Linked DNA regions of Diceros bicornis minor. The protein of the gene in region 3 binds, or shares a complex with, the protein of the main gene of each other region. Links are inferred from orthologs where the notes say so. Each region holds a gene or a part of one and is shown on either strand. Other genes may lie near its edges.

Evidence for each region.
Region 1: ACTR2 (region 3) and ARPC2 share a complex: the UniProt entries of both Homo sapiens proteins name them as parts of the arp2/3 complex. The link is inferred for Diceros bicornis minor from reciprocal best matches to the Homo sapiens genes ACTR2 and ARPC2.
Region 2: ACTR2 (region 3) and ARPC1B share a complex: the UniProt entries of both Homo sapiens proteins name them as parts of the arp2/3 complex. The link is inferred for Diceros bicornis minor from reciprocal best matches to the Homo sapiens genes ACTR2 and ARPC1B.
Region 4: the proteins of ACTR2 (region 3) and ARPC4 are in contact, whole or in part, in a cryo-EM structure (PDB 6YW6), measured with the Homo sapiens proteins. The link is inferred for Diceros bicornis minor from reciprocal best matches to the Homo sapiens genes ACTR2 and ARPC4. Residues at the interface, in NP_005713.1 of Homo sapiens: Tyr222, Val223, Tyr225, Gln229, Glu230, Lys232, Leu233, Ala234, Leu235, Glu236, Thr237, Thr238, Val239, Lys253, Thr308, Met309, Tyr310, Pro311, Gly312, Pro314, Ser315, Asp346; in NP_005709.1 of Homo sapiens: Val29, Val30, Glu31, Arg32, His33, Lys35, Pro36, Glu39, Val40, Ala98, Glu99, Asn100, Phe102, Ile103, Leu104, Arg105, Arg106, Lys107, Leu117, Thr119.

The regions. Positions count from the first base shown.
Region 1 is NC_080776.1:8,672,846-8,679,960, reverse strand, and holds the start of ARPC2 (actin-related protein 2/3 complex subunit 2), read right to left. Parts: upstream 3,022-7,115; 5' UTR 2,927-3,021; intron 2,715-2,926; 5' UTR 2,707-2,714; coding exon 2,633-2,706; intron 1-2,632. UniProt on the Homo sapiens protein: Actin-binding component of the Arp2/3 complex, a multiprotein complex that mediates actin polymerization upon stimulation by nucleation-promoting factor (NPF).
Region 2 is NC_080765.1:7,312,791-7,320,385, reverse strand, and holds the start of ARPC1B (actin-related protein 2/3 complex subunit 1B), read left to right. Parts: upstream 1-4,593; 5' UTR 4,594-4,688; intron 4,689-7,595. UniProt on the Homo sapiens protein: Component of the Arp2/3 complex, a multiprotein complex that mediates actin polymerization upon stimulation by nucleation-promoting factor (NPF).
Region 3 is NC_080751.1:22,559,984-22,566,883, reverse strand, and holds the start of ACTR2 (actin-related protein 2), read left to right. Parts: upstream 1-3,880; 5' UTR 3,881-3,956; coding exon 3,957-4,004; intron 4,005-6,900. UniProt on the Homo sapiens protein: ATP-binding component of the Arp2/3 complex, a multiprotein complex that mediates actin polymerization upon stimulation by nucleation-promoting factor (NPF).
Region 4 is NC_080741.1:82,754,637-82,761,900, reverse strand, and holds the start of ARPC4 (actin-related protein 2/3 complex subunit 4), read right to left. Parts: upstream 3,014-7,264; 5' UTR 2,819-3,013; coding exon 2,816-2,818; intron 1-2,815. Other genes in the region: TADA3 (transcriptional adapter 3), read left to right, coding at 4,458-4,664, 6,040-6,290, 6,411-6,516. UniProt on the Homo sapiens protein: Actin-binding component of the Arp2/3 complex, a multiprotein complex that mediates actin polymerization upon stimulation by nucleation-promoting factor (NPF).

The DNA.
Region 1 (7,115 bases), on a different chromosome or scaffold from region 3:
AGAACTTTGTTCTACATCGGCACTCTCCAAATACGGCAGCTACTAGCACATGTGGCAACTGGGCACTAGAACTGTGGCTAGTGTGACTGAGGAACCTAATTTTACTTCACTTTAATTAATTCTTATTTCAACTTAACTAGCCACATGTAGCCACTGGCTATCATACTGGACTTTGCAGAGTTGGAAGACTCACTCTGCAAAAGGCTGCTCGGATCCATAACTTCCCCAATTGCTTTGCTCTGAGAAATGTAGGGCTGGGTGGAGCTGACTCCTCCCAGCAGGTCCCCACACAGGCAGAGCCTTTCAGATCTCCAGGGTTTCTCCTCCAAGCTACTCTTACTTGAATGTCTTTTTCTGATCTCTACCCCAACACATCTCATCCCTTATCTCCCCTCTAACTTTGCCAATAGGCTCGCTCAGGAAGCCCCTCTTTTTCTGTTCCTGCCTGGTGCTGAGCACTGGCAGAATCCCATAAATGTTGATGATTATCATACTAGTTATCCTTTGCTGGAAGTTCTGGCGTAGGTATGTGCCTTGATAAATACTTAACTACTTCACTGCTGCCTCACCTTACTTAATGGATGCCTGGAAAGTCACACTGGGCTTGGAAGAAGGCTTCTGCGGGTGTTATATTTGCAATCCCAAGAAAGCCCTACCTCCTAGGCTGGCTATCATGGTCTCTTTTCAAAGATTTTCAAAGTGCTTTTCAGCAGAATATGTTCTGAGCCCACTTATTTAAAGTCACATCTCAAAGGGAAGATGGGCCAGAATAAAAGCCAAAGCTTGCTGCCCTGCCCCCACAGCCAACATTGCTGTAACACAGAGCTTGTAAGAAATGTCCTAGAAGTTCTAATGTATGCCTTCCAGACTTGAGTGCCTACTTTAATTCCTCTGAAATGGTTAGTTGCTCTTTTTAAGAGTAATCTTCTAAAAGGAAAAGAGCTGAAGTTCTAAATAAGGGGCGACACTTTGGAATCACAAGTTATTAATACACAGATGTGAACATACTCCTCAAACCAGGCATGCTTCTCCTTGAAAACGCACAGGCATTTATCTCGTAGATCAGCTTATAACCACTCGGGTCTCATTCTTTGCTAGTCTGGACTTGAGAATGCACTTAACATCAGCTGTGAAAATGCAGAAGTTAATTTAACTTCCTCCTGTGTGCTACACTGCTCAAAAAAGTACACGGCAATCACCCAAAATAAGACTCTGAGCTGATTCGCTCGAACATTTAAAATGTAAAGGAACTGGGAAGCGAGGCTGAAGACGGACGAGAAGCAAGTTAGCCTAAAATATAAGCGAGTGCAGCCCCTGGCAGGAAACAGTAGCTACTGCTCACTGCATGCAATGCTTCAAGGAAAGTCCTGCTTTGTTTTAGATACAATCTGTGGCCTCATAAAAGAGACAGGAGATACAATATGCTCAATTCAAGCAGTGGGTTAGAAGTATTTTTTTTTTAAATGCCTCCAAGCCACAAGTTCATTATGACCACTTAGAATTTCCCCTCCACCGATCCTCTCCCATTGGTGGATCTCCAAGCACTTCCTTTCCTGTTCTTAGTTTCCAGCTCACCAGAAACAGTTCACACTTATTTCCCCAACTGTGCAACCAAGATGTGAAGCCCCATCCTCACAGAGGGGGAAATGAGGCAAAGGAACCGGCTGCAGGCCACCAAAAATCAGAAGCTAAAACCAATTCCTCGGCTCACGTTTTAAATATTATATTAGAAACGCAAAGCAGCTCTAGAGGAGGAGGTTGGCTTTTATTCATTCTTGTGTTTGACAGAGAAGGCTGCCTTGGAAATATGTCTTAGGCCAACAGTAAAAAATGGTTATCTAAGAACTTTATAGACTTTGCAGGTTTTTAAGTGTATACCTGGGCCCGGACTACCACGGAAGAAATCACAGAGCAGGGGTCCAGTATAAGAATTTAAAAGATAACCAGATAAAGGCCAATGGGTGGGGAGAGGAGAATTAGAACCTCAGAACAGAGATAAGGAAGGGGTGTGGATGGGGAGACCACTAGCTCTGCGTGAGAAATATGTAACAAAATGGCTAGTGTGCCTCTCACGGGAGGGCTCAGGGAAGGGAAAGGGGAGAGATCGCGTCTTTCTCGCTGCAAGACCGGGTCTGCTTTCAGTCTTCCCTCCCGCTCCTGGAGACGAGGAGGTGGGGGTGGGGAGCAAGGAGGCCGGTGGTGACCTGGGCCTGCATCTTCCGCCCTCCTCCAGGCCTGGGCATTCCTGAAAACTCCTTCCACCCCAATCCCAAACGGGCTCCCTTCGGGATCAGAACAATGCCGGGGAACAGAGAGGACAGCGGGCTCCTCCAGCGAGGGTGCCGGCCCCAGATGCCCTCGCGTCCCACAGGTCTCCGGCCCTCCTTCAGCACGCGCACTCCTGTCCACTCCCCGCTTCCGCATCCCCGCTCCGAGCCTCGCCCCGTGCATCTCTGCCCCTCACCCCACCGCGCCCCATCGCCTCCCACGTCTACTCCGCCGGGGCAGTGCCCGCACGCGGCCGGGCCCCCTGTCCCTCTCCGCCAAGTGTGGGGGCGGCACGACACTGGGCGGCAGCAGCGGGGGTCAGCTCTACCTCCTCCGCCACCCACCGCCCCGGGCGCGCGCTCACCCGGCGGCCGCGTTCTCGAACTTGAGCGCGAGCGTCTCCTCGATGATGCGGTTGTTCACCTCCAGCAGGATCATGGCGGCGGCTGCCCCGGGCAGGGGAAGGAGAAACAAGGGCAGGTGAGGGTGGGGAAGGGGGGAAGGACGGAGGGAGCGCCCCGCTGGCCCCTGAGGAGGGGCTGGGTGGGGTGAGAGGTTAGGGGAGAAGGGGACAGGGACCGGGGTGGGAGGAAGGGGAGGACGCGCGCGCTGGCCCGCGCACGCCCTGACTGTGGAGACACCCACCCACCCGACCGACCTGGCCCCCGAAGCCTGAACCCGCCTGCCGAGCCGCCGCCGCCGCCGCTGCCGCCTCACCGACAAGCCCGGTCCCCGCCCAGCCCCCGGCTCCAGCCGGCCACTTCCGCTCTCACACCCACTTCCGCTCGCCGCCCGGACGCGCGGCCCCGCGGCGCCATTTCCGCTCCGACCCCTCGTGCACGCGCACGCAGGCGCGCCAAGGGGGCACGGAGGCTGCGCTTGCGCATGCGCGGTGCCGCCACCTCGCCTCCACTTTCCCACAGACCCCCTGACGTCCTGCGCTTGCAAGTGTGCCTGTCCGGCGAGCGTCCTTCCCCAGGGCCTGCCTCACTGTCCAGCGCCTCCCTCCCGCTCGTCCCAGAGGTCCAGCTTCACCCTTCCGGCCTTGCCATTTCAGAGACCCCCGCTCTTGTCATCGCCCAGCCGGCTTCTTTGCTCTCAGCTTGTTGGTTGTGGGTGTGCCCGTGCCTCTTGCCACACTAGTGGCTGTCCGGCGGCACCGTCACGCCCTCATTTCTCCAAAAAATATGTAGTGGGCTCCTGCTCTGTGCTGAGGATACAGTGGTGCATGAAATAGACGAGGCCCTGCCCTCGTGGAGCTTATAGTCTGGTAAAGGAAACTGACCACAAACTCGCAAGTAGTAACTACAAATTGTTAAAAGGGCAGTGACGGGAAGGAGCGAGAAGTCACCTAGGTGAAGGGGCCTGCGGGGTTCCTGTCGTGCCTCCATTTCTGAGCCTGGGGAGCTGCCTCTAGATGCCCCGAACGTGATGTCTCTGCTTTTGAAACCCTTCCAGGACCTCTGCCAGAGACGTACCTTCTTCCTCAACTGCGTGCAGAATCTGAACTCGTTTTTGTGCTACATTCGCACCTTCTGCCTGTGTGTCTTGTGATACTGGCCATGGATAAGCTTCAAGACATTGCAGATCCCCCGAAATTATACGCTAACATTTTAACATTATTGTTTACTGAACTAAAGTAACGCGGATACGTAGTTTAAAAATACATGTACTAAAAGGCTTGTAGTGAAAAAAGCAGGTCCCTGGCCTTAGAGGCAATGTCCTCAACTCTTTTACGTATTCATCCGGATTAGATCCATATATCTAAATAAATGCTTATACTACTAATTCTTGATTTGTTAATTTTAAGGATTATCTGTTGACTTCCTGCTGTAATAGATAAGAACATGACTCTATCAGCTGTGGAATTGGTGCATTTTACAAGGTTGAAATCATGGCAGGTCCAGAAACTGATGCCCAATTCCATTTCACTGGTATCAAAAAATATTTCAACTCTTATACTCTCACAGGTAGAATGAATTGTGTACTGGCCACATAGGGAAGCATTGCTTTCAGGGTCTTATACTTCAGGTTAAGGTCTAAAAAATCTTCAGCTGTGAAAGCGACATAAATGGATTCTAAACTGTACCTTGTCTGTTAAGTTTCCATGCCTGAGAAGCTAATGTCAACTCATCATGTGATACTCCATTTATACAATAAATTATGAACCTAGGAAAAAAAAAAAAAAGAGAACATGACTATCCCTTCTGTTTCTTGCCTCCACATAGTTATGTAACAGTTTTTGGTTAAACCAATAATCAGCGTTTAAATTATTATGTATGCAAGTATTGTTTACCAGTGAGCCAAGAAGTGCACCACAACCATGCCTTCTAGCTTATACAGCTGTTCATTTTTCTTAGAGTTAATTATTGCCTTTTTTCTCTCACTTGTCAATTTTCTATATTTTCCTACAGTTGGCTGCCTCCTACCCCACAGGTGCTCTAAGACTGTCCAAGACTCTAGCAATATTTTCCATATACCCAAATACACAAGTTCCACTTTTTCTCTAGAGTCTTTGTTCCAGAGCCTTCCTTCCTCTTGTTTCAATCTGGATTGACTGTGCTCTAGACTTACTGTATGGTTGTCATTCTGGGATTTTCCTTTGTTGCTGTTCTAGGCTGTTTTTGCCCATTTCCTGGATCCCATGTCTTCCTCTTTCTTGATTTTCTTCCTTGTTTTGCTAAAGCACCTCCTCTAGTAACTTCCTAAGAAGGGAGATAGAAGATATGTTGTTGAAAGCTTTATATATTTTAAAATATCTGAATTCTATTCTAACACTTGATTTGTAGTTGGGCTGGTTATTGAATTCAAGTTTGAAAATAATTTTGCCTCATAATTTTGAAGATATTATTCCATTTTCTTCTACCTTTCAGGGTTGCTGTTTAAAAAGTCTAACTCTTATTCATATTCCTGATCCTTTGTATGTTACATCATCTCCATCTCTGGAAGTGTTAGGATTTTCTCTTTATTTTCTCTTTAGATTGTTTGTTGGAAATTTTATAATGATGTGCTTTGCTGTGACTCAACTTTTTTGTACTGAGCACTCGTTCAAAGTGGAAACTCATGTACTTCAGTTTTGTGGAAAATTTTCTTTGATTTTTTTTTGATAACTTCTCCATTTTCTTTCTTCTCTTTCTGGAATGCCTATTCTTTAAAAGTTAGATTTCTAGATCGATCCTTTAATTTTCCCTTCTACTTTCTGTTTCTTTGGGGTTTTTGGTTATTTTATTTTTAATTGTGGTAAAATATACATAACATAGAATCGGTCATCTTAACCATTTTGTAGTGTACAATTCAGTAGCATCAAGTATATTCATGCTGTTGTGCAACCAATCTTCAACCATTTGAAGTTTCAGTTTCTTGAAGACCTTTTTCTCCCCAGCTGAATCCTCCCCATATTATTCTATCCTTGTTTTATATATCTTCTCTCTGAGGATGGTATAGTGTGTTTGTTTTTAGTTTTTCTTCTGCTCTCTGCTTTGATCTGTTTCTTTGAGTCCTTTTTTATACTAATTTGTTTTGGTCTCTCTCTTTTATGTTAATGGCCATCCTTAAACGTCTGGCTACTTTAGCAGTCTGCTCGTATTTAAAGATGAGACTGTAACAAGCTGAGTGGAGGCTGAGTGTGGGCGAGATGAGTTGACTAGCGTCTTGCTACTCGAAAGGGACCAGCAGCACTGGCTTCATTTGGGAGCTTTTTGGAAATGCAGAATCTCAGGCCCCACTATAAACCACAGATTTAGAACCTGCAGTTCAACAAGCTTACCAGGTGATTCAAATGCACGTTATGTTCGGAGAAGGGCTGGATTAGTGGGCTGCACTATAACAGGCACCAATGATGTGCCAGACTTCATTGGGGGCCCACAGATGTCAATATTCGGAGGTCTTTTCTCCAGGGACAAACCCTCTGGTTGTGTTTGCAGCTTGTAAGCTTGGCTGTGAGTGTTCCCAGAGTGTGTGGGGGCGGGCAAGAATGCTTTGAGTGCCTGCTGACTTCTACTGAATCCCGTTATCAGCCCTCTGCCTCCCCACTGCCTTCCACTGGCTGGAGTCTATAGAAAATGACTCTCCCGTGGTGGAGATGGAGGAAGGGGTAGAAACGGGATGGGTCTGGTGAGAAAGAGGATAATCACTCGACTGCTTGGGGACCTAGAACACCAAAGGCTTTTTATGCAGATTTTTACCCAATCTTCCCATTTTCTTCATCTTGCTTTTGGTTTATTTAAACTCATGACTAACAGAACAACGATCTTTGTACCCACCACCCAGCTTTCTTGAATCTTAACATTTTATAATTAAACTTTCTTCAGAGCTTTTTGAAAAAGAAACGCAGTTGAAACTTCCTGTGAACCTCACCCAATTCCATTCTTTCTCTCCTTCCTTCCCCTCCTCAGCAAAGGCAACCATCACCCTGCATTTGGTGTTTATCCTTCCCACGCATGTTTTTACACTTTTGCTACATATGCATGTACCCATAAACAATGTATAGCATATTTTGTATGATTTTAAGCTTTTTGTTAATAGTATCATACTCTATTATCTCCTTTTGAAACTTGTTTCTTTTAATCAACAATATGTTTTTGAGATTTACCCATGTTGTTACATGTAGCTATTTTAACTGTGATGTAGCATTCCAATATATGATTATACATTATGATTATTAATATATTTATCCATTCTCCTGTTGAAGGACACTAAAGTTCTTTTCCCATGTTTTTGCCATTACAAGCAAAACTTTGTAATAGCAAAATGTACAGGTGTGAAGGTTTTTTTAGGGTATGTTCCTAGGAGTTTCCTGTGTACAGGTGTGAAGGTTTTTTTAGGGTATGTTCCTAAGAATGTAACTG
Region 2 (7,595 bases), on a different chromosome or scaffold from region 3:
AGAGTTAGTAGCCTTGAGCCCGTGGCCGTGTCTTGACCTCACTGGCCCAGGAGAAGGAGAGTAGTGATTGGATCACAACTCTAGTTTTAGGACACTGGTAACAGTGCTTCTCAAAGGATGTCATGATATCCTCAAGAGTAATTTTGCCCTTTTGGTGACACATGGGAAGCCTTACTTCCCTCCAGGAGTGAATCCCAGCACCTGGGGTGCCAGCGTGGCAGGCCTGCCTCTCCCCTGTTGCTATAGCATCCTCGCTGCGCCCCACTGGCAGGAGCTGCTTTGTGCATATATGTCTGCACCAGTGCATCAGCAAGGCTGTGGTCACAGAGGACAGACGAAAGCCAGCCCCAAACCAGGAATTAGCTAAAGGTAAAGGTTTCTTTTTAGTTTCAATAAATCACATGGTTTGGCCAGCAAGCCCAGAGGTTTTTAGAGAAACAATGTATTCCATGAAAGAAACAACAGCAACAAAAAACAAAATTTACTAACTTTCCCTCCAAGGACTTAATAGTCACAGTTGTCTTTTTTCTTGTTTTAACTTGGGCCATTTCTCACTCATGGAAGAGTGCCCATCCCGGTCATGGCACCCAGGAACCCTCAGTGCTGTGCTGCAGTGCTGGGGCCTGTGAGATTGCCGAAGCTCCCTCCTCCTCTCGCCCTACCTTTGAGACTCAGGTAAGGCCTGGGTGCACAGTGACTGCCAATTTGGAGGGGTTCTCAGTGACCCTGACTATGCCACGACACACTGGTCAAAGCCCTTTGATTCGATGCTTTGGTGTCAGATTATAGTTCTGCCAAGTTGTGTGACCTTGAGTGATATAGTTAACATCTCTGTGCCTCAGTCTCCTCACCTGTAAAATGGGCATGATACAGGATTAGTAATTCCTCTTAGATACTCATGAAAGCCGAGGTTTGCTTTCAGGCTTGACACTGGCCGTATAGTAGTCCCCGGAGACCCTTAATAACAGTGGGCTCAGGTGGGAAGAAGTGTATGAAGTATGTTGGTAACCAAAAAAACTTCAGTAGTTCTTTCCAGAATATTATGCTAGAAAACGGGTCAGCCTCAGAACCCAGATTAATTGCTTAGGCAGGACTTTTCAGTTTGGCCCAACAATCACCACACAAGTGGTCTAGTTCCCATGTGTGCCCAACCCTGGAGGTGGTGATGTGAAGGCCCAGGGTGGCCCAGGTAGTCCCCATGTGGACTGGTCAGTACAGATCAGTACGGACATTATAAGGTTATGTTATTTAAGTTATGTGTGTGTGTATAATTCAAATACTAGATGTGGTAGATAGAGTAATGCCCCCCAAAGATGTCCATGTCGTAATCCCCAGAACCTGTGAACTTTGCAGATGTGATTAAGTCAAAGATCTTGAGATGGGGAGTACTCTAGGTTGTCCAGGTGAGCCCAGTATTGTCACAAGGATCCTTGTAAGAGGGAGGTAGGAGAGTGAGGGATGTGACATAACAGGTTGGAGTGTCACAAGGCCCCGGAGCCAAGGAATGCAGGTGTGCTAAAAGCTGGAAAAGGCAAGCAAACAAGTTTCCCCGGAGCTTCCAGAAGGAACACCACCCTGCCCGCTGAGACTGACTGTGGGCTTCTGACCTCCAGAACCGTAAGAGAATAAGCCACCCTGTTTGTAGTAAGTTGCTACCGCAGTGATAGGAAACTAACACACTAGGTCAGTTCAGAAAGGAGGGGAAGTATAGTCTAGAGCAGAGTTTTTCAAATTGAGGGTCAGACCCCGTTAATGGTTGTAAAAGTCAATTTGAAAATGACACAGAAGAGAAAAGAACAGATTTTGCATTGCCTGTAGTAAGTGTTGTTTCAAGATGCTTATGTTTCAGATATATGTGGGGATGTGTACTAGGTCGCAGTAGACATATCACTGTGAGTTGTGATCAAAAGTTTGAAAGCCACTAACGTAAAGTCAGTCACCTGAGGGGGCTCATGAGGAGGGGTGCTTTAGCCCTGCCTTGGATACGTTACCGTGAGAACAGCTAACCGCCAGGCACCCTGGTGAGCAATTGATAGGCCTCAGCTACTCACAACAACTCTATAGTGTTGGAACTTTGCCACATTTTAAAGATGACAAAACTCAAGTCCAGAGAGGGAAGTGACAGCCTCCGTTGGAACCGTGGCAGTCTCTCCAGAGCCCCAGCGCTAACCGCTAAGTCTCCTCCCTACTGGGGGAGGGCAGGGAGTGGAGGTGCGTAGTGACCAAGCCCAGTTCAGTTTGCCCAAGCTTGGGAGCAGAGAGATGTCATTGGAACTGATGGGAGGGGACCCCTCTGACAGTACCCTATGGGGTTTCGTTGTAGACCTGAATTTCTCAGTGAACTGACACATAAAGCCATGTGGCTTGGAACGGGGTGTGCCTCAGAACACTGCCCCCATCAGAAGACTGCCTCCTGGAGCAGGACACAAGTTCCTGGCCTCAGCTATGGTGGACCCCTTCCCGGGCTTTGGCCACCTTACAAATATGTGTGGCCCAGGGAAGGAGGCCCAAGGGTTTCCCCTCTTCCCTCCTGCTCACAGGGATCAGGTGGCAATCCCTTGATCCCAGGGAGAGAGACCCATGGTCCCCGTTCTTGGTGGGAACATGCTGAGACAGAAGAAGATGAAGCTTTCCTCCCTGGTCTCCTGCTGCCTTGGCCAGTGCACCACTTCCTAGGCCAGATGCCTGGAGTTTGGCTGCCATCTTGTGACCAGGAGGCAGTAAGGCAGTGCAGTGAGGAGGAAGGAGCAGAAAGCTGGAAAGAACCTCGTGACCTGGAGACGCGACCAGCCCCCTGACTACTACTGACTGCCCTCCTCCAGGTCAGCCAGCCCTGCAGAGTCTGCCTGGGTGTGTGGCTGCATTTCTTGGAAACCTGAGAAGGCGGAAAGAAGGGGGAGTGTAGCATCTTCATCCCAGGGCACCAGGGGAGGCAGATTCCAGGAAGCAACAAAGCTCTCCAAGTTGTTCTCAGCACTCCAAAAGAAATTCTTCCACCCCCAAGCTCCCCTCACCCAAGGAGTTGTTTCACTTAAGGTTTAAAAACTTTGTCCCCCAAGGGAGCCATTTCAAAGAACATCCCCCATGGCTTCCCGGTCTAAGGTGTGCTTTCCATCCATTGGGTCTTCCCATAATGACCGCAGGCCTGTGAGGGGGGGCGGGCAGCGCTTGTTATGAGTCAGCCTCGCTTTACAGCTGCGGAAACTGAGGCACGCAGGACGAAGGACTTGCCTGAAGTTATACTGCGGGGTTAAGTGGCAGAGCCAGGGTTGGGTACATGTTCTACCACCACCATTCATTCATTCACTCACTCATTCATTCAACAGATGCACACTGAGGGCTTGCTATATGCCACACGCGCTGCTCTAGGCTCAGGGGAAAGCAGAGCAAACAGTAAAAGAGTTTGCTCGCCCTAAGCTTCTGCATCGTCTTTTCATCAATCAACTTGCTTCACTTCAGTTTTCACCGAGAAAAGCGAGTCCCCAGGTGAGCACATTGGTCAGGATGCTTTACTGAGACTAACAGAAAAACTCAACTCGAACCAGCTTCAAAAGTAAAGTAGGTTCCTTAGCACACGTATCCGAAACCTCTGGAGGCAGATTGTGCTCAGGCTGACTGGTCAGAGGTTGACCTGGGCTCTGGTCATTTCTCTGGGATTCTCTCCATCTGCGCTCTAACCTTGTCGTCTGGCTTCCTTTGTGGCTGTTACACTTCCCTGTTCAGATTCACGCACCTCACCCAGAGGGGCTTCTTTCCCCTCCATCATCATCAGAAGTCCTGGCCTCCTAGGGAGAGGGGCCTGATGAATTGAGAGGGTGCAGGGTTTTCACCAGGGTCTCCTCCATCTGCCAGGCCACTTGGCCACATCTCCATTGATGAGGCAGAGGGTAGGGATGGAAAGACACCCGCGGCCACCTGGCCCAAGACCCAAATTCAAGTGGCTGCAAGCAGCCAGGTAACTTAAAGGAGTGAAGGTGACCGCGGTGGAGTAGAGGGCCGAGAAGGCAGCACTGAGAGAACGTGCTGGGCCAGCCAGAATCAGCGGGGCGGCCAGCGTGCATGCCTGGCCGGGCCAGCATCCTGGTTTTGTAGTGAGGATCCAGGGCGGGGCGGGCGGGGCGGGCTGCCTTGGCCACGCCTTACTGCCTGCACCGGGTTTGCACTTTTAGCGCCTGGCGGGTATCAGTTTGCGAACGAAGAGATGGTTCCCGCGCGGCCGGGGTCCGAGGCCTGCAGAGGTTCGCTAAGTTGCTCAGTCGCCAGCGTATGAGCGCAGAGTCCGCCGTCCCCGCGGTCCGGCTCAGACGACACCGCCCTCCCGTCCGGCGCTGTCCACTCTCGGTGGGGGGTGGGGGGTGGACACGCGCCCTGCCAGGCTCCCGGTCCCCGCCCAGCTGCTGCTCAGGCTGTGCACCCCTCTCTGAGCCTCAGTTTCCCCGTCCATAAAGTAGTGCGGAGTGGTCGTGGACGATTTCTGCGCGCCTTGGGTCTGTGCAGCCCGCAAACCCGGAGGGGTGGGCGGGGCCTTGGGTCTCCCGACCGCTGCCCCTGGTCCCCGCCCCGGTCCCCGGGGGCCTGGCTGGGAGGCCCCGCCCCCCGCCCACGAGGAAGTGGCTGCGGCGCCGCGCGGGGCCCAGAGCCGGTTCGGCGCGTCGACTGCCCAGAGTCCGCGGCCGGGGCGCCCCGAGGTGAGGGGGCGCGGGGGGATGCGGGGATGTGAAGGGGCGCGGGAGGGGGCGCCTGGAGCTGGGGGGACGGAGGGGGAGGCGGGGGTGAGGGGGTGCCTGGCGGTGAGAGGGTCGCATGCAGGTGGCGAGTGCGCGGGGGCTGCCAGGAGATATGGGGGTGGGGGCACGGGGCGTCGCCTGGAGGTGCGGGGACCAGTGGGCGCAGGTGGCGGCCGCGCCGAGGGTGGGCGGTGGCCTCCGGGCGAGGGACGCGCAGGGGTCCCGGCGCCCTCGAGGCGGCCCCCACCCCCGGCCCCTCTCCCTGTCCCCTCTCCGGCCCTCACATCCCGACTCTGCCCCGCGGCCGGTGTCCCCCGTTATTTCGGGCCGCGAAAGCCCCACACCCAGTCACTTCCCCACCCTCCAGCCTTCCGGGTTCTCCAGCCGGGAAATGAGCTGGCGCCCCCGCCCTCCCTCCGCGGCCACCGCCTCCCCCCTCCCCTCCCCCCGCCCGCCTCCCGCCCCGGGCCGGGTCCGAGGGGTCCGTGCAGGGAGGGGGCGGCCGGGGGCCCCGGGACGGGCGCTTCTGAGCTCCCGGGCGCTGGCCCCGAGCGGCCCCTCCCTCGCCTGCGGCGCAGGAGAGCAGCCGGCCTGTCCAGGGCTGGGGCGGGGACAGTCGTACACCCACCACCGGCGGGAGCCCCGGGAGCGAGCCTGGTGCGGTGCGGGACGCCGGGCTGGAGGCTGTCCCCGGGCTCCTCCCGCCTGGCGGGCGGTGCTCCCTCGTGGTTAAGAACACCCATCGCCCTTCAGGTCTCAGGGCCCTAGGTAAGAGCGCCAGCTTCTTCCTCCACCAGCTGATGACCTTAGCAAGCCACCTAACCTCTCTGGGCCTCAACTTTCCTTATCTGGAAAATGGGGACCTTTCAAGTTGTGAGGCTTAAATGTGGTAATGTAAGACACTTGGCAGTGTGCCAGGCACACACTGTGAGTGTGTGCTATTAGTGTTGTCGCTGTCATTGTAAGGCCTGCCCTCATTTAACAAAGTGCCCAGGTGAACCTAAACTCCCGTATTTCGGGTCAGAATCCAAGCTGTGCCATTTAGGAGCTGTGTGACTTTGAGCAAATCTTGGCTTTTGTCTGAGTCTCACTTTCCGTCTGTACAAATGAAGGTTGAAAAAAACACAAAGCAAAAAACTTCCTAGGTTTGCTTTAGCAGGGAAAAGAGAGAATGTCCAAGTCCTGGGTAAATCCTAGGCATTTAAAATGCCAGTAGGGTTAGTTCATTACATATGGATTTGTATATAATCCACATAGGTCTTTTCTAATAGTTAAATAGTATCCCAGCATGTTAATGTCACTAGTTACTTTTTCCATATTTGTTGTCATCTGGATTTTTCCACCCTGTCACCACTATAAACAGTTATTATGAACATGTTTGTTTTTTAAAAAAAAAAAAGTGGCTCTTAGCACCGAAATGAATTTATGCAACCAAAGAGTGTTAACAGTTTTTAAGTTCCTGTTCGTGTTATTCTGTTCTGCTTGTTCCTACCCAGTTGTTGAATTGAGAGTTATCACATTGCTCTTCAGAAAGGCTGCACAAATTAGCAACAAATGAGAATTTCTCCACAGCCCTGCCAGCATTGAGTTTTATGTTTTTGGGTGTTGTTTTGTTTGGATTACTTTCACTGGTGCTTTATGGTGCCTTGGGATTGTTTTCATTTATGTCTCTTGACTTGACTTTGCCTGTTTTGTAAGCCTTTAAGAGCAGAGTTGGGGAGGAGGATTGGCTGGTCTGTTTGGGGTGGCAAGGGCTGCTCTGCACACAACAGGAAGTTGAGTAACTGCTTAGCACGCGTGCAGACTGGCTTGCTGGCTCAGCCTCTGAGCTGGGTGGGGACTTCCCTGAGTGTCTGTAGAGCCAGAGATCCTTGCTCCAGGCTGCTCCTGCCTGGTTTAGCCTCAAATTCAGCCAAGCCTCTGCGTTCAGAGAACACTGGCAGAGCTTCTTTCAAAGCAAGAACAAACCTACAGCCAGTGCCCTGTCCAACTCCAGCCTTTTCTGGATGGAGATGTGAGGGAAGTGGTGGCCAAGGGCGCCCGGCCAGTATGGAGAGAGCCAGAACTTGAACCCGGCACTGTAAGAAGGAGCACTGAGGTCTGAGGCCCTTGGCGGGGCAGCCCAAGGCCTCGCCTGGCTTGCTTTGCTGAGGAGGGGAGCTGTATTCTCCTCGAATCCTCAGAGAGGACCCTCTAGATTGCAGGTTTTCTAATCATTGACCCTATCAGGGAAAAAAATTGGTGCACATACTCCCCGGGAGATATTTACAAATTGCATACATGCGTCACTGAAGCAATCCTGCGTATTCCTAAGACAGACCCAGCAAAAAGGATGTGATTCATTCGTTCAGCATCATTCCAGAACTATTACTTGATTGCCTACTGTGTGCCAGGCCCTCTGATTGGTGCTGGGGATGCTTCAGTGAACAAAACAAACACCCTTGCCCCCATGGAGCTGACATCCACATCCCAGTGCATGGTCTATGGCACTCCCAGATGGAAACCCAAACCCCCTCCCAGCCATCATGCTGCCCTTCTCTGTCCCCTTGCACCCCAGCCCCAAGCGGTCCTGGTCCATTCATTCCAAGCACCCACTGTGTGCCTGACGCCAGGGAAGTGCTCCTGGGAGCACAGAGAGATCCTGGCTCCAGGCTGGTGGGGGGTGGCTTGGAGCCAGCAGGGGAGTCTGTCGGGATTTGGCCCCTCCCCTCCCCCAGTCTCACTCTGTTTCCGGGTTATGGGGGCACAGAGCATGATCCTAACATGATCCCCAGGGCCCCCTCCTCTCTGTCCTCAGCAGTCAAATGGGCCCATGGTGCTGGCTCACAGGACCGTGGTGACAAGTGGGTGGGTGTCCCGGAGGCCTTG
Region 3 (6,900 bases):
CATCTATTGCCAATCCTCCTCCTTTTTTTTTTTCCCCCAAAGCCCCAGTAGATAGTTGTATGTCATAGTTGTACATCCTTCTAGTTGCTGTATGTGGGACACGGCCTCAGCATGGCCGGACAAGCGGTGCTTGGTGTGCGCCCGGGATCCGAACCCAGGGCCACCGGTAGCGGAGTGTGCGCACTTAACTGCTAAGCCACGGGGCTGGCCCTTTGCCCACTTTTAAATTAGGTAATTTGTCTCATTATTATTATGTGTTCTTATTCTGGATACAAGTCCTTTGTTGGATATATGATTTGCAAATATTTTCTCCTAGTCTGTGCTTGTCTTTTTGTTTTCTTAATACCTAAATTAAAAGTTTTAAGGGGCCGGCCCGGTGGCGCAAGCGGTTAAGTGCGCGCGCTCCGCTGCGGCGGCCCGGGGTTCGCTGGTTCGGATCCCGGGTGCGCACCGACGCACTGCTTGGTAAGCCATGCTGTGGCGGCGTCCCATATAAAGTGGAGGAAGATAGGCACAGATGTTAGCCCAGGGCCGTCTTCCTCAGCAAAAAAAGAGGAGGATTGGCGGATGTTAGCTCAGGGCTGATCTCCTCACAAAAAAAAAAAAAAAAAAAGTTTTAAATTTCTATTAAGTCCAATTTATTGATTTTTTTTTTTATGGATCATGATTTTGGTGTCATAACTAAGCAATCTTTGCTTACCATAACATCAAAAGGTTTTTCTCCTGTTTTCTTCCAGAATTTATAAAGTTTTAGCTCTTTTATATTTAGGTCTATGATCCATTTGAATTAATTTTTATGTATGGTGCGAGGTAAGGATCAAAGTTCTTCTCTCCCACCATGCATGGATATTTAATTGTCCCAGCACTATTTGTTAAAAACATTACCCTTTCCCTATTGAATTGTTTTAGCATATTTGTTGAAAATCAATTGACCATAAATGTAAGGGTTTATTTCTGGTCTATCTATTCTGTTCCGTTGATCTATATGTCTATCCTTATGCCAATGCCACACTGTCTTCATTACTGTAGCTTTATAATATGTTTTGAAATCAGATAATAGAAGCCCACCACCTTTGCTTTTCTTTTTCAAAATTGTTTGGCTATTCTGGTTCCTTTGCATTTCCATATACATTTTAGGATCAAACTTGTCAATTTCTAAAAAGAAGAAAGCCTGCTGGAGTTTTGATAGAGACTACATTGAATGTATAGATAAATTTGGAGAGAACTATCATCTTAACAGTAAGTGTTCAATCCTTGAATATGGTATGTTTATTTATCTAGATCTTTGGTTTCTCTCAACAATGTTTTATAGTTTTCAGTGTATAGGTCTTACATTACTTTCATTAAATTTATTCAGATTTTTATGATGCTCTTGTGAATGGAATTGTTTTCCTAATTTCATTTTGAGATTGTTCACTGATAGCATATATAAATACACTGATATCTGTATGTAGATCTTATATCCTATGACTTTGCTAGACTTAATTTTTGTTAAATCCCCCATTTCTCATGTGTAAAATGGGGATATCTATCTGGCAAGATTTTTGTGTGGAATAACGTACGTAAACTCTCAACTGAAGGCTAGAAATGAAGCCCCCCTCCTGAAAAATTCAATTACGTAAAATCGGGGGTGGGGTGGGGGGGTGGGCACAGTATTTTGAGGAAAGTAAAATGCCAGGATTCACCTGGTGTAAATGGCAGGAACCATTCACCAATAGTATTATATCTGAATTTGCATAATCAAGGAGTTTTGCTACATTTTCATTTGTGTAGTGAATAGATGTTTGCTATTTTCTATCATCTGCATGTATTGTTTTTACAATCAGAAGAAAACAACAAATGTTATTCTTAAAAAGTAAAAATCAGGGTCCGGCCCCGTGGCTTAGTGGTTAGGTGAGCCTGCTCCACTGCTGGTGGCCCGGGTTCGGATCCTGGGCGCGCACCAACGCACTGCTTGTCCGGCCATGCTGAGGCGGCGTCCCACGTACAGCAACTAGAAGGATGTGCGACTATGACATACAACTATCTATTGGGGCTTTGGTGGGAAAAAGGGGGAAAAAAAGGAGGAGGATTGGCAATAGATGTTAGCTCAGGGCCGGTCTTCCTCAGCAAAAAGAGGAGGATTAGCATGGATGTTAGCTCAGGGCTGATCTTCCTCACAAAAAAAAAAAAAAAAAGTAAAAATCAGTAATCCATTTAATTTCATAAAGAGGAAAAGTAAAAGGACATAGAAATGCTTGCGTTCAATTTGCTGAGACCAATTAAATGTGCTTCCAGGAAAACTGCACAGTGCTAGGCACTGGGGTCACAAAAATAAGATATATAATTTATGAACTAATACACAGTTCAGCAGGCTTCTGAAGAACCTCGACGACTATTGAAGCAGGGTTGGGGAAGACATAGTTCCCTGAGGCTTCCTTCCCATCCTAACCTCTCAAACTTCCAACTACCACTATGGCAGCTTTACTTTGATCTATTTTATATGTTGGGGTTCCATATAAGATTAAATTTGAATAAAGCATTCTATGCCTTTATAAAGGTTTGAAAACCACTGGTCTAATACAAGAACTAAGTGAAAACGGAGAGGCAGCCTAGTATTATAATACTGAATGGGGGGTTCATAATCCAAGTTTTATTCTAGTCATTGTACATGTACAGCCATGTGGAAGGCACAATTCTAGTTCTCACCTCTCGAAAAGGATGGCATTTTTTTCTAGATGAATTTTAATGTCATTCATCCATAAATATTTGTTGAGTTTAACAAGCACAATAATGTTATTCATATATCCATTGTAAAGTAATAACAAAGGAAGAGAGTAAAGAGCATCTTGAGGGTTATCAGCAAAGTCTTCAGAGAGTGACAACTGGGTCTTAGAGCACCAGTCGAAGTCTCCCAATTGATTAAAAAGAAAAAAGGTAGGGGCATCACAGATGGAACTGCACATTTAAAAATATGGAATTAATAATAAATAGCTACCAGTGAATGGATGCTTACTCTATGCACAGAATTTTATCCTCACAACCACCCACGGAAGTAGAGGTTATTACACCCATGCACAGACAAGGATATGCCCAAATCAACAAAACTCTTGAGTAGCAGGGCCAGATTTGAAACTGGGGTTGTCTATTTCAAAGCCGAGGCTCTAGGTTCAAATGGGTACATATACTTAAGAGGTGTGAAGCCACACGGTGCTGCTGGAAGAGGAAAGTGGTGAGTTATAAGGCTGGAAATGTAGGCACCCACTCTCATTCACTTGACTAAAGACAATTTGGGCAAAGAAGAGTTGGGCTGGAATTGGAGGTATCGGTATAAATGCATGATTTCAAATATGTGTGTGTGGGTGTATCCATTAAGGCTCTGTCCACTGAAAAGGCCTAGAAAGCAAGAGCACACCAAGCCATGTTCAACCGTGGGATGGGCAAGCACCTCCAGGTTTGCTTCCCCACACGGCTGGCTTTTCCGCCACATTCCATTGCCATCTCGCCACAGACCCGGTGTCCTTCACCTGCCTGCGCCTTCTGCAGCAGGATGAGAGGCGCCCTCAATTCCAGACACGCCTGAGGGAGAAAGTCGCAACACCCTCCAGGTTGACTGCCATCAACGCCCGGCGAAGCCCGGGGAACAAAACGCTGAGAGGAAGAATCCCGGGTGGGCGGCGTCGGTGACTGTGGGGCTGGAGCCGGAATGGAGCTGTGGGCGGGGCCTTGGCGCTTCTCCGTTTCTTATAGGAGCTCACCGCTGCCAGTCTCGGCCTCCTCCCACCTGTCCCCACATCTTCCGCATAGGCCGTCAGTCAAATGGCGGGGGGGGGGGCGGAGGAGACTTCCGGTTGGGGGGAGAAAGTTGGGACGAGGGAGGGGCCGCGAGCGCGGAGGAAGAGGAAGAGGAAAGGGCCGGGCGGCGGCGGCGGCTGTAGGTTGTTCGGCGGTGGTGGCGGCTCTCTTCCGGGCGGACGATGGACAGCCAGGGCAGGAAGGTGGTGGTGTGCGACAACGGCACTGGGGTAAGCGCCCGGCGGGGAGCCGCGGCGGCCACAGGCCCGGCGGGGATGTGCGGGGGGCGCGCGGGCCCTCGGCGTCCGGGGCTGCACCCCTGGGCCCTCGGGCCGGCGGGATGAAGGGGCGCGGGCCAGCGCTGCCTGCCCCCACGGGCGTGGGGAGTTGGCGGGCCCGGTCCGGCTCAGGTCTCCCGGAGCCTCCCACCCCGGCCGCCTTCTGGGTCAGGGCGGCGGGCGAGGCCGGCGCTGGGTGGGCATGTCACCTGCTGCCCGGCAGGGTCGGCTCCGCGCTCCAGCGGGGACAATTTGGCTAAAGGGCCGGAGGGGTAAAAGGCTGGGTTTGTGTGTTCGAGAAGGGCTCTGTTCCCCACGGTCGCTGGTGTGTGAAACGGAGAAAGACCTAGAGGCCTTCTTCTTCCTGTATAGTTGAAGGTAGCGAACGAGAGGCAGGAAACGAGTTTAAAGAAAAAAAGGGAAGTGCTGTCATGCAATGAGCCTCAGCCCTTTCGCAGTGTTAGAGGGTTATGTTGTGTGTGGTTTTTTTTTTTTTGAGAGAAGGGGAGGCTAGATAGCAGCACATCATTTACTTTTTGTTCTGCGCGCTGGGAATTTGGCCCAGGGGCAGCCCCGCAGAGACCAGCATGTTCCATTGAATGATCTTGGGAGATCTAGGACCCCGCAAGGCCGAAGGGTTAATTCCACTGACCTTGGGGGAAGGTAATCAGTTTTGGTCTCCCCCCTTCCTTTTTTTCCTTAGGTGCACTAAGATTCTAAAATGCAAATAATTGTAAAAATCTGAGTAAAACACTTTTTTAGAAATTATTTGAAAGTTATCTCAAACGCCCACCCCCTTTAAAAAATGTATTTTGAGGGGCCGGCCCGGTGGCGCAAGCGGTTAAGTGCGCGCGCTCCGCTGCGGCGGCCCGGGGTTCGCTGGTTCGGATCACGGGCGCGCACCGACGCACTGCTTGGTGGGCCATGCTGTGGCGGCGTCCCATATAAAGTGGAGGAAGATGGGCACCGATGTTAGCCCAGGGCCGTCTTCCTCAGCAAAAAAAAAAAAAAAAAAAAAGGAGGAGGATTGGCGGATGTTAGCTCAGGGCTGATCTCCTCACAAAAAAAAAAAAAATGTATTTTGGGCAGCAAAGTCAGCAGATTAAAAGACGGAAATGTTATTTATTTTGGATGAGTTCTGTAGTGATCATTTCCCCTTCATTACAGTAATGTCGAACCGTTTTGGAGTTGCATATTGTGTGACTTTTCTCCCCTGCCTTCCATAAATGTGACATATGAATTAAAATAGATTTTACTTGAACTTTAAAACACTTCGGAAACTGGATTGTTGAGGGGGAAAAAAAAGCTAATATTCACTACCATAATACTTCCCTTGATTGAATTTATTAGAGATTTTTACAAGCAATAATTATACTAGCTTTCTGAACTAAGTTAAAAATGAACAAGAGTAAGAAGAGTGTTATAATGGGACATCCATACAAAATAGAATACTTAAAAAAGGCAGATTCACTGCTATGGAAACATGTCTTAACTTAAAAAAAATTTTAGAATGAGCCTATTTATGTGTGTTTTCTGTATTAAAAGATATTTATATGTATGCAAACTTGTATCTGTATATGAAAGTTTTGGAGGGATGCGTAAGGAATGTTCATATGGTTACCTGTGAGACTAGGAATAGGAAGTGAGGGAAGATAGGAAGGACTTCATGACTTCCGAATTATTGGAAAAATGTTCTTTGTTTTGTTTTTTAGCAAAACATGTATTAAGCTATCTTTAAACTAAAGAAACTATAAATGTGTATTACTTTTACAGTTAAAACTCAGTTAAAGGTGCTTTTTAAAGAATTTAAGTTCCAAATTGACTTCTAAATAAATTTAAAGCTTTAAAAATTGAATTTAAAATATTTTATTTTGCTAATATTTTGTTTTGTCAGGTATTCTCTTTAGAAATCTGAGCCAGCTATATTTTATTGGATTCTTCTTTTTTGAATGGTAATGAACCCTGTATTTGTAGTATAATGAGCTTTTCAATATTCACTTAGAATAGGACTGTTAACCATGAGCTCATTTTTATGTTACTATTTTATTATTTTAGCTGTGTTGAAAGCTGATTGTGTATTATTGGTTAGTCTCATGTCTAATCCATAATTTAAGAATCTTGTTCCTTAAGACAAGGGATCAGTTACTATGACATAAATAGAAAAAATGTAGTTAATTCAAACAAAAATGTATTTGGTGTTACATTTCTAGTTGTCTTTAAATTTTATCCAGATTTTCTATAGACACGATCGACTTCAAATGAAGAAAGAGCTCTGATATAATACGTAATCAGGATGCTGTGATATTTCTGAAAATTTAGAGGATTAGGAACCATTTAGAGTCTATATTCTATTTCTTACTGCTTATACTTCATAGTCATCCTGATTTTATTTAGTTACCTGAAGGTATAGTGATTCCTTTACAATGAAATATTAAAGAAGATATTCAAATTTAATTTCTAAAAACTTGTGGGATTAGTTGTTGCCCTAAAGCAACTTGTCTCTTACACATTTTAGGTCTTAAAATTACAGGCAGTTTGAGAAGTTGATGATTTTTTAAACTCCTCTGGCAGGCCCTAAGTCGAATGCTCTAAGAGTAGGTGAGATCTTATGATCACATGCCAGATGTTGATCCTGCTTCTCTTCTCACTAGCCCCCAACTAGAGCAGTGTCTCGTTAGAGCAGCCTACAGGAGGGAAAGTCATCCTATTCCAGTAATTTATGTGCTTCATCTTCGTAATTGTTCAAACCTACTCCGTAAAATAGCCACTGAAAGTGGCCAGATAGATGAAAATCTGAAGGTCTCCTTAGGTTTAGGTGCTTTTCAAGAGTTGAGCCCAGGCCCCTGGT
Region 4 (7,264 bases), on a different chromosome or scaffold from region 3:
GATCAGCATCTGTCTCACCAAAGCCACTGGCCCCCTACTCCAGCTCACATAGGAGCCAGGCAGTATGGAGGGTGCCCAGCTCTCAGACAACACAGTGAACAGAACAGACTAGGCCTTCAAAGTGTCTTTCATTCAAAGTCTAGAGCAGTGATTCTCAAGGGGACGATTTTGTCTGCCAGCGGACATTTGGCAACATCGAGACATTTTTCACTGTCATGACTTAGGGGGAGAGGTGCTACTGGCATGGAGTAGAGTCCAGGCATACCACTAAACATCCCTCAACACACAACAAAGAATTATTCAGCTCCAAATAGTGCTGAAGTTGAGAAACTCTGGTCTAGAGGCATACAGGTGAATGACTATCCTCCATCAGTCTTTTGAGCCAACAAATGGCTAAGTCCACTGTATGCCAGGCACTGAGCTAGGTGCCGGAAATTCAAAGATGATTAAGACCATCTCTACCCTTAAACAGCTCAAGTAGGAGGAGACAGAGAAAATAACTATGATATAAAGAAGGATGACATGTGAAATAATTAGATTTACAAGTTATATCTGCAGAAGAAATTGGTTTTGATTTGAAGATAGAAATAGGATTAGGTGAATTTTACAATGAGAAGCAGCAGAATAAGGCCATTCCCAGTAGAGAGATCAGCTTCTAGCTACACTGGCCTATCTTCAGTTCCTTTAATCAGCCAAGTTCTTTCTCACCTGAGGGCTTTAAGCATGCTGAACCATCAATCTGCAGGCTTTTCTCCCCTCTCTTTGCCTAAGTCATCCTTCAGATCTTGGCTTATTCAGGAAAGGCCTCTTCCTTCCCCAAAGAGGCCTTTCTTAACTTCCCTCTTCATAGCATTTATTATAATTTATAATGACACACCCTTCATACATCTTTAGTAAAGTGATTTCTCCTTCACTCCTAGACTGTAAGCCTCATGGTCAACAGACCATGTCTATTTTATTCAAATCTACATATGCTGCACCTAGCTCAGTCACTACCTAACATATAATGTCTTACCCAGTTTCTGCAGAATGAACGAATGAACGAAAGAACTTAAGGTTAGAATTACATAAAAGGGCATTAAGAGTTCCAGAAGCAGTAATGAGTACACTGTTGCTGTATATGGGAAGCATTTTAGATTCAACAGATAAGGCTGCAATGGCAGCCTGAAGATTCATGGGGAATCTCAAATGCCAGGCTACTGAGTGTAGCTTTTCTTTTAAGATGGTAAGGAACTGCTGGGGCTTTTTGAAGAGGAAGTTACACGACTAGAGCTACATGGTGACTCTGTGGAGAATGGACTGGAGAGGGAAGTGAGACATAAGGCAGAGAGGGCTATTTAAGGAGCGCTGATGAGAGCCTGGACAGGGGCAGTGGAAAGGACAAACAGAGGGGATCACAGGGGTTGTCCAGCATAATGGAATCCAAAAACAACTCCCAACAAACTATGGTCCATCCATACAATGAAATACTACTCAGTGATAAAAAGGAATAACTACTGATACACACAACATGCATGGATTGCAAATGCACTATGGTAAGAAGCCACACTAAAAAGTCTACATACTGAAGAATTCCATTTATATGACAATCTGGAAAAAACAAAACTATAGGGGGAAAAAAATCAGTGGTTGCTTGAGGGGCAGGGAGGACTGATTACAAAGGGATTTGAAACTTTTTGAGGTGATGGAAATATTCTTGATCTTGATGGTAACAGTGGTTACATGACTGTATTTGTCAAAATTCACAGAAGGTAAACCTGAAAAGGGTGAATTTTAGGTGGGCAGCCCAGTGACCCCCGCCCTTTCACAAATAAAACAGACACAGTCTCATGTAATACCTCAACAAACTTGATCTTTAAAAAATCAAGAGGCATGGCCTCAATTGGAAAAAAAGAATATCCCAGGTTTCTAGCTGGGTTAAGAGGACACAAAGCCAGAATAAGGGACATAGCAGGAAGAGCGATTAGGAGAAAAGGTGACTTTTGACCTGGAGGTCTCATTTCAGGCTGTCTTCAAGATATCCAGGCAAACCTTGAAAGAGACCTAGGAAAGCAGACTCAGGAGTCACCAGAATACACAAGGTCATTAAAGTCGGAAAACTAGTTAGCTATCAATAGGGAGACTGTAAAGAAGACGAAGGTGTTGAGCCAAAGTCTCAACTCCCAGGAACACTGACATTTATCAAACAGCAGGATTTCCAGGAAGGGAGGGATCAGCAGTATCAGAGCTTACATGCTACAGTAAGGCTGACACGATTGAGTTCTGACCAGGAAGGGGACGGGGTGGAGGCGGCATAAAAGAAATCTTTCAGCAAGGTACAAGCAAGGCTGGGGGCAACAAGAAGAGTAGGATAATTAAATGCGGACGCTTCCCTTGGGAAACTGCGGGGTCAAGTGGGCAGGAGACGACAGGGCAGTGTATCTAGTGCAGTTCTACTCTGGGTGGAGAGGCGGCTCTACTACGTGCCTCAGCAGCCCTACTACGGGCTACGAGACCTACTACACGCCTTCGAGGCGCTACCACAAGCCTAAGGAGCTCCGCTTCCGGTTTCCTCCATGCCTCAGGAGTACTCCCGACTCGCTTCGAAAGCCAGACCACGAAGCCGCAAAGCCTGGTGCTTACGAGGGCGTCCCCCGCTCGCCCCTTCCTCACTTCGGCCCCCGCCCCACCCTCTTTCTCCCAGCCTCATCGTGGCCCCACATCCCCAAGCATCCCTCGGCCCCGGGCCTCTCCGCTGCAAAGCTGCATCTCCCCCAGACCCAGACTCCTGAGGAAGAACAGCGAGGGTCCCTGGCCCGGGGTCCGGCTCTCTCACCATCGCGGGCGCTGGCTGGGCCGGAAAGCGGAAGTGCGGAAGTGGCCAGCCCCGCGACGCCTGCCGTTTCGCGAGAAGCGCAGCCGCAGTCTCCTCCCGGACTTCCGGACGGTACCATCTGTGCTCCGAGCGGGGGAAAAAGAGCCTAGGAACACTTGGTCCCTCGGAAGTTTTCCCGCCAGGACTGTCTTGGTAGTTTTAGACTCCTGAAGTTTCACCTTGCTACTCAAGCTCCTCCCGTTATCCATGCAGCTCTCGCTTGTGACTTTGGCCTTCTCGTCGTCTTTGCCGCTTTCTTCCCCCATAGTCATGTAATGGTGCAGCCAGCCTCAGGTTGAGTACCATAATAGGACAAGGCGAAGTGGAGGAGCCCTTCGTTTCTTCCGGTTCTGTGCCCCCGTCCTTCCTGCGAGCCCCGCCTACCTGCAGCTCCCGGGGTTCGGCGGGACTAACTACCGGGTGGAGAACCCGACTGCCGAGCCCCGCCCCCTGCCCCGGGCTGTTCCCTAGGGTACGATCGAGGCATACCGCCCCACCCCCCTACATTGCGCTCGTTCCCGGCCCGCCAACCCCCACCCCCGCAAGCCACAGTGAGCTCGCCTTCGAGTCTCCCCGCCCCCGCGTCAACTGCGAGGGGCCGGCACACAGCCAGTTCCGGGGCGGTTGCTCCGACAGACCGGAACTCCCCGCCGCCTCCCGCGGCCTGGGGGACCGTAGTAGGCTGCAGTGAGGAGGTAGAGGGGGAGGGGGCCGCGTTAGGGGGTCCCTAGAGGACGAGGACATTGAAGGCGAGACATTGGGGCCACCCACGGGGTGGTGCCAGCCAGTAAGCAGTCCCACTTTTTCTGTACCAGGCACTGAACTGGGCTCTTGACGGGCATCATCTCTTAATCCTCAGAACATCCCGGGGAGGTAGGTACTATTGTTATCCCCATTTTACAGATTCAGACTTATGGGGAAACAGACTTCAGGCTTCTTTTGTCCTCATTTTACAAATGGGAAAACCGAGACTCAGGAAGGTTAAATAACATGGTCAGGACTACATAAATAACGAATAGTAAAGCCTGGGCTGCAATCCGGATATGTCTGGCTTACCAGCCCACATTCTTAACCGCTGTCAGGGGCAAAGGTGGGGAGGGGTGAGACAAGGAGAGGCTGAGAGGCACAGAGAACATTATCGTTATAAGAATGAGATGCTTCCAACTCAGGGACTTAGCACAACCCAGGAGTGGAACAGAAGAGAAGAACATCAGAAAGACAGGGCATAGTATATGGTGGTGGTTAGGGGCATGGACTCAAAACTACTTGGATTCAAATTGCATCTTGGTAAGGTTGGGCATGTACCCACCCTTACAGAGTCTCCGTTGCCTTGTCTGTAAAATGGAGATCACCATGGTCCCTGCTTATGGGGTTGGATGAGGAATTTAATGAGAAGCTGGTAAAATGTCTGCACCTAGCTTGGCACACAGTAGATGCTCTGTGAGTAGCTGTGCCATCAACCTCGGCAATAGGGTACTGAAGCCTGGCTTTCTCCTTGAGGCTGTCCCTGGATAGAAGGAGCCCTTGGGCTTTTCTCGTGCCACTTTATCTCCCATCAATGGTCTTTTCCTCTCCAGCTCCACAGGGTCCCATATCCTGGGCCATGAGTGAGCTGAAGGACTGCCCCTTGCAGTTCCATGACTTCAAGTCTGTGGACCACCTGAAGGTGTGTCCCCGCTACACGGCAGTGCTGGCCCGCTCTGAGGATGATGGCATCGGCATCGAGGAGCTGGATACTCTGCAGCTGGAGCTTGAGACCCTGCTTTCCTCTGCCAGTCGGCGCCTGCGGGTGCTCGAGGCCGAAACCCAGGTGATACCCCCAGAGGGGGCGTCACCAGGGATGAACTGTGACAAGTTATGGGTTGGGTCCTTGAGTTAACCCCATCTGCTGAAGCCTGGGTTACAGAAGCTTAGCAGAGGAGAGAGAGACCGAAAATAGGCTTGTGTAACATGTAAAATATGCAAGAATATGCGTGATCCTCGTAAATTACAGGATTTCTAATTCAGTAGGCATTTATTGACCCCCACCCCCCATTATGTTCTGGGTCTTGTGCTAGTCTAGAGAGAGGTAATTAGGACAATTCTGGCCTTCAGGGAGTTTGCCAACTAAAGGGAAGGGGAGTCAGACAAGTACCAGGTGATGTGCTGTTACGTTTACGAGTCCTGGGGGACCTGGAACGGAGAGACCTGGATTTGAATCCTGTCCTGAGCACCTGCTAGTGTTGCTGTTTCCTAGCTTTGTGACTTTGAGAAAGTTACCTCCTGGCGCTGAGTATCAGTTCTCTATCTGCAAAGTGGGCTGAATAATAGGACCTACCTCAGAGCTTTTTGTGAGGATTAAAAGAGAGGGTTTTTTTGCAAAGCTGAGCCCAATGTCTGACACTAAGTAAGCATTTCAAATGTTATTTATTGGTATTACTATGATTATTTCTGTTCATAGCATAAACATCTTCTGAGCTCTGTGTGTCAGGTGCTCTGCCAGACCCTGGGGAACAGAGATGGTTCAGATGAACTTCTTGGTCTCTAGTAGCTTATAATCTAGTTGAAGAGACAAGGTTCTCTGTTCATTCCAGTGAGACCAAACAACACGATTGGGCCTACAATAGAGGTATGAAGTACCACAGACTCATAGAGGAAGAAGATGCCATTTCAACTGGGCCTCAGAAGATGAATAAAATTAACTTGTGGTCCTTGGGAATCCACTGAAGCTTTTTGAGCAGGTCTGTGGCACAGTCAGTTGTATTTTAGCATCTAGGAAGCTGGGTAACTGATGCAGAGAAGACTTCTCAGTTGTGACATTTGAAGTGAAGGTTTGCTGGGAGGCTTATTTGCCTTCACCAAAAAGTTATGACCAGCATATTTTCCCAGGGCTAACATGCACTGGGGTGTGATCATTCATTTGACTTTTCTGCTAAACACTATGTGACTGGCTTGGGTGCTACAGAGCTGAATCAGTATAGACAAACAATGAATGGAATGATGAGAAGTATATGAATAAAGTCCTGTGAGATGCACACAGAAAAGGAGCTGAGTTTTAAAGGATGAGTGGGAATTTGCTAAATAAAAAGGGGATAGGGGAAGGCTATGGGGCCTCTTGGAGTTGTAGATCCTGAGTTTTCACTGGAAGAAGGAGTTGTCCTGTGTCTTCCCTTCTCTCCCTCAGTGACAGTCTCTGTGAATTTCAGATCCTCACTGATTGGCAGGATAAGAAAGGTGACCGACGATTCTTGAAGCTGGGTCGAGACCATGAACTTGGAGCTCCCCCCAAACATGGGAAGCCCAAGAAGCAGAAACTGGAAGGGAAGGCAGGACATGGGCCAGGCCCTGGCCCCGGACGGCCCAAATCCAAAAACCTTCAGCCCAAGATCCAGGAATATGAATTCACTGATGACCCAATCGACGTGCCACGGATCCCCAAGAATGATGCCCCTAACAGGTTCTGGGCCAGAGACCACAGAGGGGCCTCAAGATTTGGGCATTGGAGGCCCTGGAGGGGCCTGGGGCTGAGGCTGGTGTGGCAGAGGGGCGCTCACTCAGGATCTGCTTCTCTCTGCAGGTTCTGGGCTTCGGTGGAGCCCTACTGTGCAGATATCACCAGCGAGGAGGTGCGCACGCTAGAGGAGCTACTAAAACCCCCAGAAGACGAGGCTGAACATTACAAGGTAGAGACCCTGGGCCTCAATAGACAGGATGGAGAACAAGAGGCCCAGAGTTGCCTCAGAATCAAAGACCCCAAAGCCATATATCATCTTCCTTCCCCTACCCTGCCCAGTCTCCTGTCTGCCCCATTACCCCACCCAGCCACCAAGGCTCTAACTTTCAGCTTTCTCCCCTTTACCCCATCCAAATGGCCACCTGTCCTAAGGCATCTACTTCAGTGAGGTCCTCCCTTGTCCCCTCATCTCCATCTCCTCTGCTTTGCTTTAAGCCTTCATTGGCTGTTTACCCACACGGCCTCTTAACACTTTGCCAGCCTCCAGAGAATCTTTAAATATTAAAAGTTTGGGGGCCGGCCCAGTGGTGCAGCGGTTAAGTGCGTGCGCTCCACTTCGGTGGCCTGGGGTTCCCAGCTTCGGATCCCGGGCACGCACTGATGCACCGCTTGTCAAGCTATGCTGTGGCAGTGTCCCATATAAAGTAGAGGAAGATGGGCATGGGTGTTAGCTCAGGGCTGATCTTCCTCAAAAAATAAATAAATAAATAAAAGTTTACTTTTTTTATGATGAAAATAAAACAGATTCCATTAAAGAAAATGTAGAAAACATAGAAGAGTGTTGGGGGGGGGGGTACTGTCCCATTCGTCAGCTGTCATGATCAGATGTGCTCATGACATGGCCCTGCTCCCAGGCCTCCCTTGGCTCCCATTACCCACAGGATTGAGTCCAAGTGTCTCAGTCTGTGGTGGCCCAG